Oryzias latipes: one gene and its partner. The protein of the gene in region 1 interacts with the protein of each later gene in a pairwise test. Links are inferred from orthologs where the notes say so. Each region holds a gene or a part of one and is shown on either strand. Other genes may lie near its edges.

Region 1 (4,263 bases):
CCGAGACGGAGCCAGCCCCGCCCCGGTCATGTGACCTACTCACAGTGGATTTTGTAGTCCTTGTACTGCCGGTCTTCAATGGCCGTGACGTATAGAGTAGCTCTGTCAGGGAAAATGAGTCCGTCCGGCTTCTGTGAGGGAGGGGGACATGAGTGTTAGGAACACACTCAGGGGTTACATTTAAACATCTTCAATGAACCGATCATGACTGTGTTCACAGCAGAAGCTCCTTTCTAGAGCCACCAGGAGGATCTTTGAGGGATTCCCAGAATTCCAGCCGCCAACCTTTGCCGTCAGCTCAGCTTTGGTAGAAACTTTTATCATTGAAATGTCGTACTTTTGTTAAGACCATTGACTGTTTCAGAGAACTGGACTGAGTAACCCCTCCCTTCTGGCATTCCAAACAGGAAGTGACTCCAAGAAGCCAATGTCCCATAGACGTCTATAGAGAAACAGACAGCTGTTCGTCCTGTGTTCTATTGGTCAGAAGAACCGTTCTGGATCTGATGCCTTTTCCTAACAATCTATTGATAATTTAAATATTTTTTCTGTAGTTCAAACAATAAACTGACCAATCAGAAGCCTCAAAAGTAGGTTGTGTTAGAAACGTTTGACAGATTTTCGTGTAGCCCACTTTAAGTGGTAGGGGTGTGGCCTTCCAACATGCTCTCTTCTGATTGGTTGTCATAGAAACAACTTAGACCAATCATTGCTCACTGACATTGTCTGGCTTCAACATGGCAGCGTAAAAAATTTAATTTTGAACTTTTCTATCGTTTGACGTAATTCTAGGCCTGCACAAAAAAAAAAATCAAAAAACAATCAACATGGCCATATCAACTTGAGCAATCCCGCATTGCAAAGAGGGCGTAAACGTTGACACATATGCACAGTCAGACAAATGTTTAAAACACACCCAACCACAAATTATCTAGTCTGTTCTTGACCGGGTAGATGGGGGCATTTACCCGCTTACCCATCTCCTATTGACAGAACTGGCAGTACAGTTTGTTGACTTATTTTAAAAAATCTCATTATTATATCAATTATATTGTTGTTGTTGTTTGTCTGTTGCAATATTGGTGGCTAATTTTCTTCATGCCATGCAGCTCCATGTCCCGCTCCCTCAGTCCAGGTCTCACATACAGTCAGTGGTTACAGTTACTAGTTTGGAGGAAGCGCTGACGTCCAGAAGGAGACACCCACCAGCCACTTGTCGCGGGCGTAGATGACTGTGTTGAGCATGGACTCGTAGAACAGACAGTAGCCCATCCACTCCGATATGATGATGTCGACCTTGTCCACCGGCAGCTCCACCTCCTCCACCTTCCCCTTGATGATGGTCACAACTAGAGACAGAAGAGGTCAGGACCTTCCCTCCACATTCAGCGGTCAACACCGGACGGCGGTGGACTCACCGTCATCCATGTTGTTGGCCTTCACTATTTTGACGGCGTAGTCAGAAATGCTGCTGCATTCTATCTGTAACGGCAGAAGCACACGGATGAGACAAGGCGCCGCAACCGGGCGCCGCCAAGCCGAGTCCACGCCTTCCTACCCCGATGACTTTCTTGGCTCCGGCTTTAGCCGCGAACATGCAGAGGATGCCCGTCCCGCTGCCCACATCCAGCACCACCTTGTCCTTGAACAGGTGCTTGTTGTAGAACATGGAGTTGCGGTAGGTCAGGGTCCGGACCTCGTCCTTCAGCATCTCCTGCAGGAACAGAGCAGAGGGCGATTGAGGACGCGGGCACCGGGGGCCGCAGGTTTAACGGGACACGAAGGCGTACCTCGTGGATCCCAAAGTGGGCGTAGGAGTCGAAGTAGTAGTCCTTGGATGTCATGTCTTCAGCTGCAGGCTTGGCTGAGCTCTCTCCCTGAGAAACCTCAAAGGAGGAAAAACCCCATGAATGTCTGCAGATCAAAGGAGTCACGTGATCTGGAACCGCCGAGGAGCCGGTCCGGTTCCAGGCAACACAGAAGACAGAGAAACAACCGATCCGTTAACGCTGCCTCAGAGGAACAAAGGACGTGGACCCGATGCCCCATGAGACCACCGGAAGTTAGAGTTATCCTACCCCCCACCCCCACCCGGTAACGTCGGTTCGGTCGTAACAAAGCCACACGTGACGACCAACTTCCAGAACAAGGTTCTGTTGTTGGACCAGCTCAGAGACCGGGACACTCAAGAGGACGGCAGAACCGGTACCGAAGATTCTAGTCTAGTCCGGGATGAAACAGTGGGACTACCCGCTCGCCGGTTTTCCACTCCAGGCTCGACAGAAAAGCTAGTTCAGGTTTCCGGTAAACCGGCACCGCGCGGGTGGAGTGACCCACGTGGAGCTCCGTAGTGGATCACGTTGATCGAGAGTTTTAACGTAAACTCTGGCAGACTAACGTCCGGCGGATCCGAGCTCAGCATCAGCGTGTTAGCACGAGCTGCTAATTAGCCCGGCAGCTAGCACGTTAGTCTCCATGCGGTCCGAAGGCTCTGCCGGTTCCACCGCCAGCTGCGTGCCTGCCGCCCCCCCACCGTCGCTTCAGCGTCGAACCGAAAATACACACCAGACCCCACCGTAAACAAAAGCCAGTTTGAAGAGTTTAACCGTTTCCCCTGTTTTTCTCGTAAATGCGACACTGTGATGAATGAGCGGCGGCAGCATCCGGAAACTCCAGCGCTAACACCCCCTCTACACCGGCGAAGCGCCGCTCCGGAGCCTGCGGGAAAACTCGCGGACGTTTCCTCGAACACAAATGAGCGTTTTTCCCGCTCAAAGACCTCACCTCCATCCTCTCTGCTGGCGCCGCCATTTCGATCTACAGCGAAGAGTCCGTTTCTTCTTCTACTCCGTCCTTCCTTCTCTTCCTCCGTACATTTAATCTGAATCTGCGTTGAAGGCCTACACCGCCACCTACTGTACAGACGGTGGAAATACCGCTTTACCCGTGAGACATTTTTTCTGCATTTTGCCCCTTTTACCACCATCTGGGGCAGGAATCACTAACCTTCCTGAGGGTGAGGGCTATTTTATGGGCTCCACAGGACCTGTTCACTATACATTTACCAACGTTTTCCCAAAATAAACTATAAAAAAATGCTACAAACACTTTAAAAAGACAATTTATGAATCCACTGGGTAATGATAATGAAACTGCTGGTTTATAAAAAAAATGAAATAAAAATATTTTAACAAAATGTGTTAAAATATTAAAAACTGTTAAATAAAGTCTATCTATCTATCTATCTATCTATCTATCTATCTATCTATCTATCTATCTATCTATCTGTCTGTCTGTCTGTCTGTCTGTCTGTCTGTCTGTCTGTCTGTCTGTCTGTCTGTCTGTCTGTCTCTCTGTCTGTCTGTCTGTCTGTCTGTCTGTCTGTCTATCTATCTTTCTTTCTATCTTTCTATCTATCTATCCATGCTCACTGGTTTTTCGTAGAGACTTCTGGGATATTTCTAGGGCCCTGGATTTTGAAATGTAGATTTGTAGACGCACTATATAGTGAAGGGATTTGGACTCAACGATTTTCTCACTTTCACACAATTTGGCAAAAGAAAACTTTTGTTTAAGCAATTACAGTTTTTTTCAGTCGCTTTAGTACAATTGTCAGATCAGAATGAAATTCCCAAAACTATTTGTTCAATCTTCACATCATGATGTCACTTGTGCACATCATATAAGCAGTTTCTCACTTCTTTGAACAAGTTGCAATTGCTTTGGTACATCCATGCAAATGATTATGTACAATTCTCTGCTCTTTGCTACATTATCAATTGTTTATGTCATGTTGATCAAAATGTATTATATAGTTCACTGTGCAATAGTCTTACTCCTCAAAACTCCTAGTCATTAGTTCATCGTATAAGTCATTAACTGCAAAATGGTTGACCAAGTTGTCATAATGTGACAATCATATTTCGCTGCATTGCAAGAGAGGATATTCGCTGTGATGTGGATGAGAATTTGTGGCCTAACATACAGGAACGACAAGAGGTGTAGGAAGACCACACCAATTCCTACTGCACTGCCTGGACTGTTGGACAGAATATTGTCCTATCTTTTTTCCCCTTTGTGTTACTGTTTGCAGTGGGTTTTTTCTATGTTGGTATGACATGGTCTGTCTACAAATTACAATATGAACAATAAAAGTGTAAATGTGAATCTTGTCCAGTCTCTTGCAATCAAAAAAAAAAGGTGTAACTTCCATTTTACAATAATTGTCATCCAAACTTTAGCCATAGTTTCCATCAGAACCTC
Region 2 (4,593 bases), on another chromosome or scaffold:
AAGTTTAGGCCAAAAAAAGTCATAATGTGGAATGAACTGAGCAAAAAATAGGAGATATTAGTATAAAACTACGATTTATGTACGAATCTAGATGAGCTGGATCTACGACATGATCACTACTTTTCTATGGTTTTAGGATCTGCAATCATCATAACCTTCTCATCGTCCATTGGTTACCTTTAAGACTTTTTGGAATTTTCTTGGAAGATTTTCCAAACGTATTTCCAATTCTTGTTTTATATACTCAACTCAATGTATAATAATTTTGATTGGAAATAAATCTGGATCTGTTGATTTTTAATGCAGCTTCTTGGAATCAACAATCACCAAAAACACCTGCTGTTTTATTTGCATGAAGAATTGTCATGTTTGGGGAATGTAAATAAAGAAACAGAATTTTTTTTGTTATGCAACAGTTGCCTAATTGAAACCAAAAAAAGTCAAGTTTGCTCGTTTTTATGGAAAAGCCACTGCATGCTGGGATCCTATGATGTGCCCTTTGTTCCAGCTTGGTGAGTTGGGCGGAGGAGCAGGGAAAGGTGGAGGTGGAGGAGGCTCTGTGAGGCAGGCAGGAGGTGCTTTTGGAAAGCGAGCGGTGGTGGAGGAGGAGCGGTACTTCAGGTAAGAAATGAAACAGGTTTTCGAGGAAAACTTCATGCCAGCGTTTCCCTTTTTGACAAGTATGGTTTTTGTCTGCAGAAAGAAGGAGATGGAGCTGCTGGAGGTGCTGAGGAGGCATCATTCGGAAGAGATTGAGCACCATAAGAAGGAAATAGAGCGTCTGCAAAAGGAGATCGACCGCCACGTTGGCAAGATTAGAAAACTGAAACATGACGATTGAAGTTTGCGCTCACAACTCTGATAGAAAGGGTGGCAACGTTGAAAACAATGTAAAGATAATTGACTATCTGCTCATTTTGGCAGTTAATGAAGCAAACGATTATCTTTTATATACGTTCCAAAATAAAATGATTGATTTTCTGTTGGTTTATGTTGATTTTCATTTCCCCTGTTTATGCCATCTCAAAATTTAGGGTTCCCGGTTACACCTGGACTCATTTTTTGTTTTTATTTTAAGCCTGTTATGGTGATGATATGGAGAGGTTGTGAACACTTCTGATGGCACAGCTGGAGATACCTGGTCTTATGTGATCTCAGCTGCTAAGCAAAGTCAGATCTGGATAGTCTTTGGATTGTTCTGTAAAGGTACCACAAGCTTATGGGGATGGATACGCTCCATCAGACCAAGAAGGGCATTTGCTGCAAAACTGAAGCCAAAACTTTCACAAAGGTCTGTCATTTCAGGCCTTAGCTCTGTCTGAGGGATTTACCCATTTAAGAAATTCACTCAGACCTTGTAAATACTTTCCTACCTCACTAAACCAAACAGGACAAATGAATAAACCAAATGAAACGAGGAATAATTATTACATGGATTAAATCACATTTTTAAAAGGGCAATATTTCAACTTTAATCGAAATTTACAATCAAACACCCCATCATTTAATCATAAAATAAATTACTAGTACTGGAAAAAATGTAAATATGTTGGTTTCTAAGTTATGGTGAGGAGATTGATTACACTTGTAAAAACAGTTTGATTTCCTTGTAGCCTCTGGAAATTTACACAATTTTAAAGCGGATATTACAAAACATAAAATTGAGAAAAATAAAAAATATTACAGAAAGTCATGTTTCCATTTTGAAGACCCAATGACACGAGCTAGATTTGCAAACCAACGTTGTACCGCAGACTCTCACATCTCGCGATGTTTCCCTCAGTGGCGTTGTTCGGGCGAGCCGAGACGAGACCGCTGCCGTCTGGAAAAAATTTGTCGTGTGGTAGACCTGAACATTCTTGGCATTTAGCATTTTCCCAACGCCCGAAAAAACAAGTGTTTCATATTTTTTCAAACATTTTCCAGCTAGTTTTCTAAATCATCCTGGTAAGTCTTGCTAACTACCCGTTTGTGCCTTTTACGGCGCGCGCGTGTAAAGGTGTCTGGGCTGCACGGCGAGGCCTTCGTGTTAGCCCGTTAGCTAGCTAGGACGTATTCTTGTGTACTGCTAAAATCAACACACATGGACTTTAATACTTCATTTAAACGAGTGGAACTTTTTGGATCTCATTGATGACTGTTTTTTTCTTAAGCTTTTAGAACATTTTGGGCCACGTAGTATTATAAATGAAAGATGTTAGCTATCGATCAGGCGCCATGTGAAGGGGGCGGTACTGTGGAATAAGCCTTTTAAAATGTATGAGCGGGTCGTTTTATTTTGAAAATCAGTAATAAATAACATTGTTTTTTATAATAATACTGACATTTAACGTAACGTTTTCGTTTAAAAAATCTTTGAGTTAAAAGCCAGATATTCCGTAATTTGATAGCTTGTTTCTGGTATGTCAAGTTGACAGTAAATGAAGTAATAAACTAAAACTGTTTTTATTCATGTCTATCTAACAGGAGAATGGCTTCCGCTGAGGTGAATGGTAGTTCGGCCCCAGTAAAGGAAGAAGAGGAGCCTATGGATGTGACTACAACTACAACTCACACTGAAAACTACCAGACCCTCATTGATGCAGGGCTTCCCCAGAAAGTGGCTGAAAATCTAGACAACATTTTCCAAACAGGTGGCTGGTTGTTGTTACCTTCAAAGCTCCAATGTGTTTGTTGTTGATGTGTTCAGTTTAGCTCACTTTGTCATGATGTTTAGGCCTGGTAGCGTATGCAGATCTGGATGAAAGGGCCATTGATGCTCTACGGGAGTTCAATGAGGAGGGAGCTCTAACAGTCCTGCAGCAGTTTAAGGAGAGCGATCTGTCCCATGTGCAGGTATTACACTCAATTATGTGCTCATCAGTACTTTTTTAAACAGTTTTCTAAAGTATCATTTGGTCTGTTTAATTGCAGAATAAAAGTGCGTTTCTTTGTGGAGTTATGAAGACGTATAGGCAGAGAGAAAAACAAGGCAGTAAGGTACAAGAGTCCACTAAAGGCCCAGATGAGGCAAAAATAAAGGTAAACGCTCTTGATTTGCAGTTTTTTTGGGCTAAGTTGAAATGCCAAAATGTTCTCTCAGTTACAAAGCTTTTCCCATTTTTTGATTGTTTACTTTCCAAGGCTCTCTTGGAGCGAACAGGATACACCCTAGATGTCACCACGGGACAAAGAAAGTATGGAGGCCCCCCACCTGAGGAGATGTTCAAAGGCACACATCCAGGGATTGGAACAGAGGTGGGGATTATTTAAAGAAGCATGATTACACATCCTGTTCGTTAAAGATCCACTCCGACCATCTTTTGATCTATTTTCAAAGTGTTCTCACTGGTCTTTTCATATCATTTGAAAAACAATCAAAAACCTGTGCAGTTTTCTAGATTATAGTTTCCGCAGAGCGACAGGAGTTCAGTAGAAATTCACCTGAGTGGACCGTTGCCGTGAAGCGCCCCCGCCCCCCTTTTCCCTTTGCAGAGCAGAGATGACAAATACAATCTTTTTAAATTTGTCTGCTCCTGATTTACATAGATTTGAATAAAGAAATACCCAAAAAATACAAATTTGAGCTAAATTTTCTTCCTCTATTTCAACAGGAAAACGCCACAAGATCAGTTTAAAATCGTTCACATACGCATGCTAAAACGAAATATATATACACACACATATATATATATATATATATATATATATATATATATATATATATATATATATATATATATATATATATATATATATATATAAAGCAGGTAAATAAGAAAGTTGAAAATAAATATGGATAGTTGAATTAGAAGGGAAATTGTTTTAATTTTATATAGAATTGTCATTTTTTTCATGATTGATTTAGTTTTTGTGTTTTGTCTTTCTTTCAGGTGTTTGTAGGAAAAATCCCCAGAGATTTGTATGAAGACGAGCTTGTGCCCCTGTTTGAGTCTGCAGGTCCCATCTGGGACCTGAGGTTAATGATGGACCCCCTTTCTGGTCAAAACAGAGGATACGCTTTCATCACATACTGCAACAAGGACGATGCCCAAAAGGCCGTCAAGCTTGTAAGTCCATTTTAAAATCTCATGGATCCCGTTGGATATAAAAGAAAGTGATTTTGTGGAAGAATAGTTTGAGCAAATGTGTGTTTTCTTCTACTGTGTTTCATTACTTTTCAAGTATTTGCTGTTTTTTGTTTTTTTGTTTTTAGTGTGATAACCACGAAATCCGCCCTGGCAAGTATTTGGGAGTTTGTATATCTGTTGCAAACAACCGGCTGTTTGTTGGATCAATTCCCAAAAACAAGACGAGGGAAAGTATACTGGAAGACTTCGGCAAGGTTACAGGTCTGTTTCAAGTCAATGATTGTATTTGGAGAAACCCTTTCAGTCGGTTGTCTGTCGCTGACGAGTGATGCGGTTTTTCTTTGCAGAGGGTCTTCAGGATGTGATTTTGTACCACCAGCCAGACGATAAGAAGAAGAACCGTGGCTTCTGCTTTCTGGAGTACGAGGACCACAAGTCTGCAGCACAAGCTCGGCGGCGTCTAATGAGTGGGAAGGTGAAGGTTTGGGGCAACCCCGTCACCGTTGAGTGGGCTGACCCTGTA

Evidence for each region.
Region 2: the proteins of prmt1 (region 1) and hnrnpr interact in binary tests that used the Homo sapiens proteins (3 or more experiments, as listed by UniProt). The link is inferred for Oryzias latipes from reciprocal best matches to the Homo sapiens genes PRMT1 and HNRNPR.

Annotation. Positions count from the first base shown.
Region 1 is NC_019866.2:24,804,307-24,808,569, forward strand, and holds the start of prmt1 (protein arginine N-methyltransferase 1), read right to left. Parts: upstream 2,908-4,263; 5' UTR 2,812-2,907; coding exon 2,785-2,811; intron 1,887-2,784; coding exon 1,791-1,886; intron 1,715-1,790; coding exon 1,559-1,714; intron 1,483-1,558; coding exon 1,419-1,482; intron 1,350-1,418; coding exon 1,207-1,349; intron 132-1,206; coding exon 44-131; intron 1-43. UniProt on the Homo sapiens protein: Arginine methyltransferase that methylates (mono and asymmetric dimethylation) the guanidino nitrogens of arginyl residues present in proteins such as ESR1, histone H2, H3 and H4, FMR1, ILF3, HNRNPA1, HNRNPD, NFATC2IP, SUPT5H, TAF15, EWS, HABP4, SERBP1, RBM15, FOXO1, CHTOP, MAP3K5/ASK1, MICU1 and NPRL2.
Region 2 is NC_019869.2:6,651,658-6,656,250, forward strand, and holds the start of hnrnpr (heterogeneous nuclear ribonucleoprotein R), read left to right. Parts: upstream 1-1,777; 5' UTR 1,778-1,947; intron 1,948-2,466; 5' UTR 2,467-2,470; coding exon 2,471-2,633; intron 2,634-2,716; coding exon 2,717-2,835; intron 2,836-2,913; coding exon 2,914-3,021; intron 3,022-3,123; coding exon 3,124-3,237; intron 3,238-3,872; coding exon 3,873-4,049; intron 4,050-4,195; coding exon 4,196-4,331; intron 4,332-4,417; coding exon 4,418-4,593. Other genes in the region: ATPase inhibitor A, mitochondrial, read left to right, coding at 509-621, 700-841. UniProt on the Homo sapiens protein: Component of ribonucleosomes, which are complexes of at least 20 other different heterogeneous nuclear ribonucleoproteins (hnRNP). hnRNP play an important role in processing of precursor mRNA in the nucleus.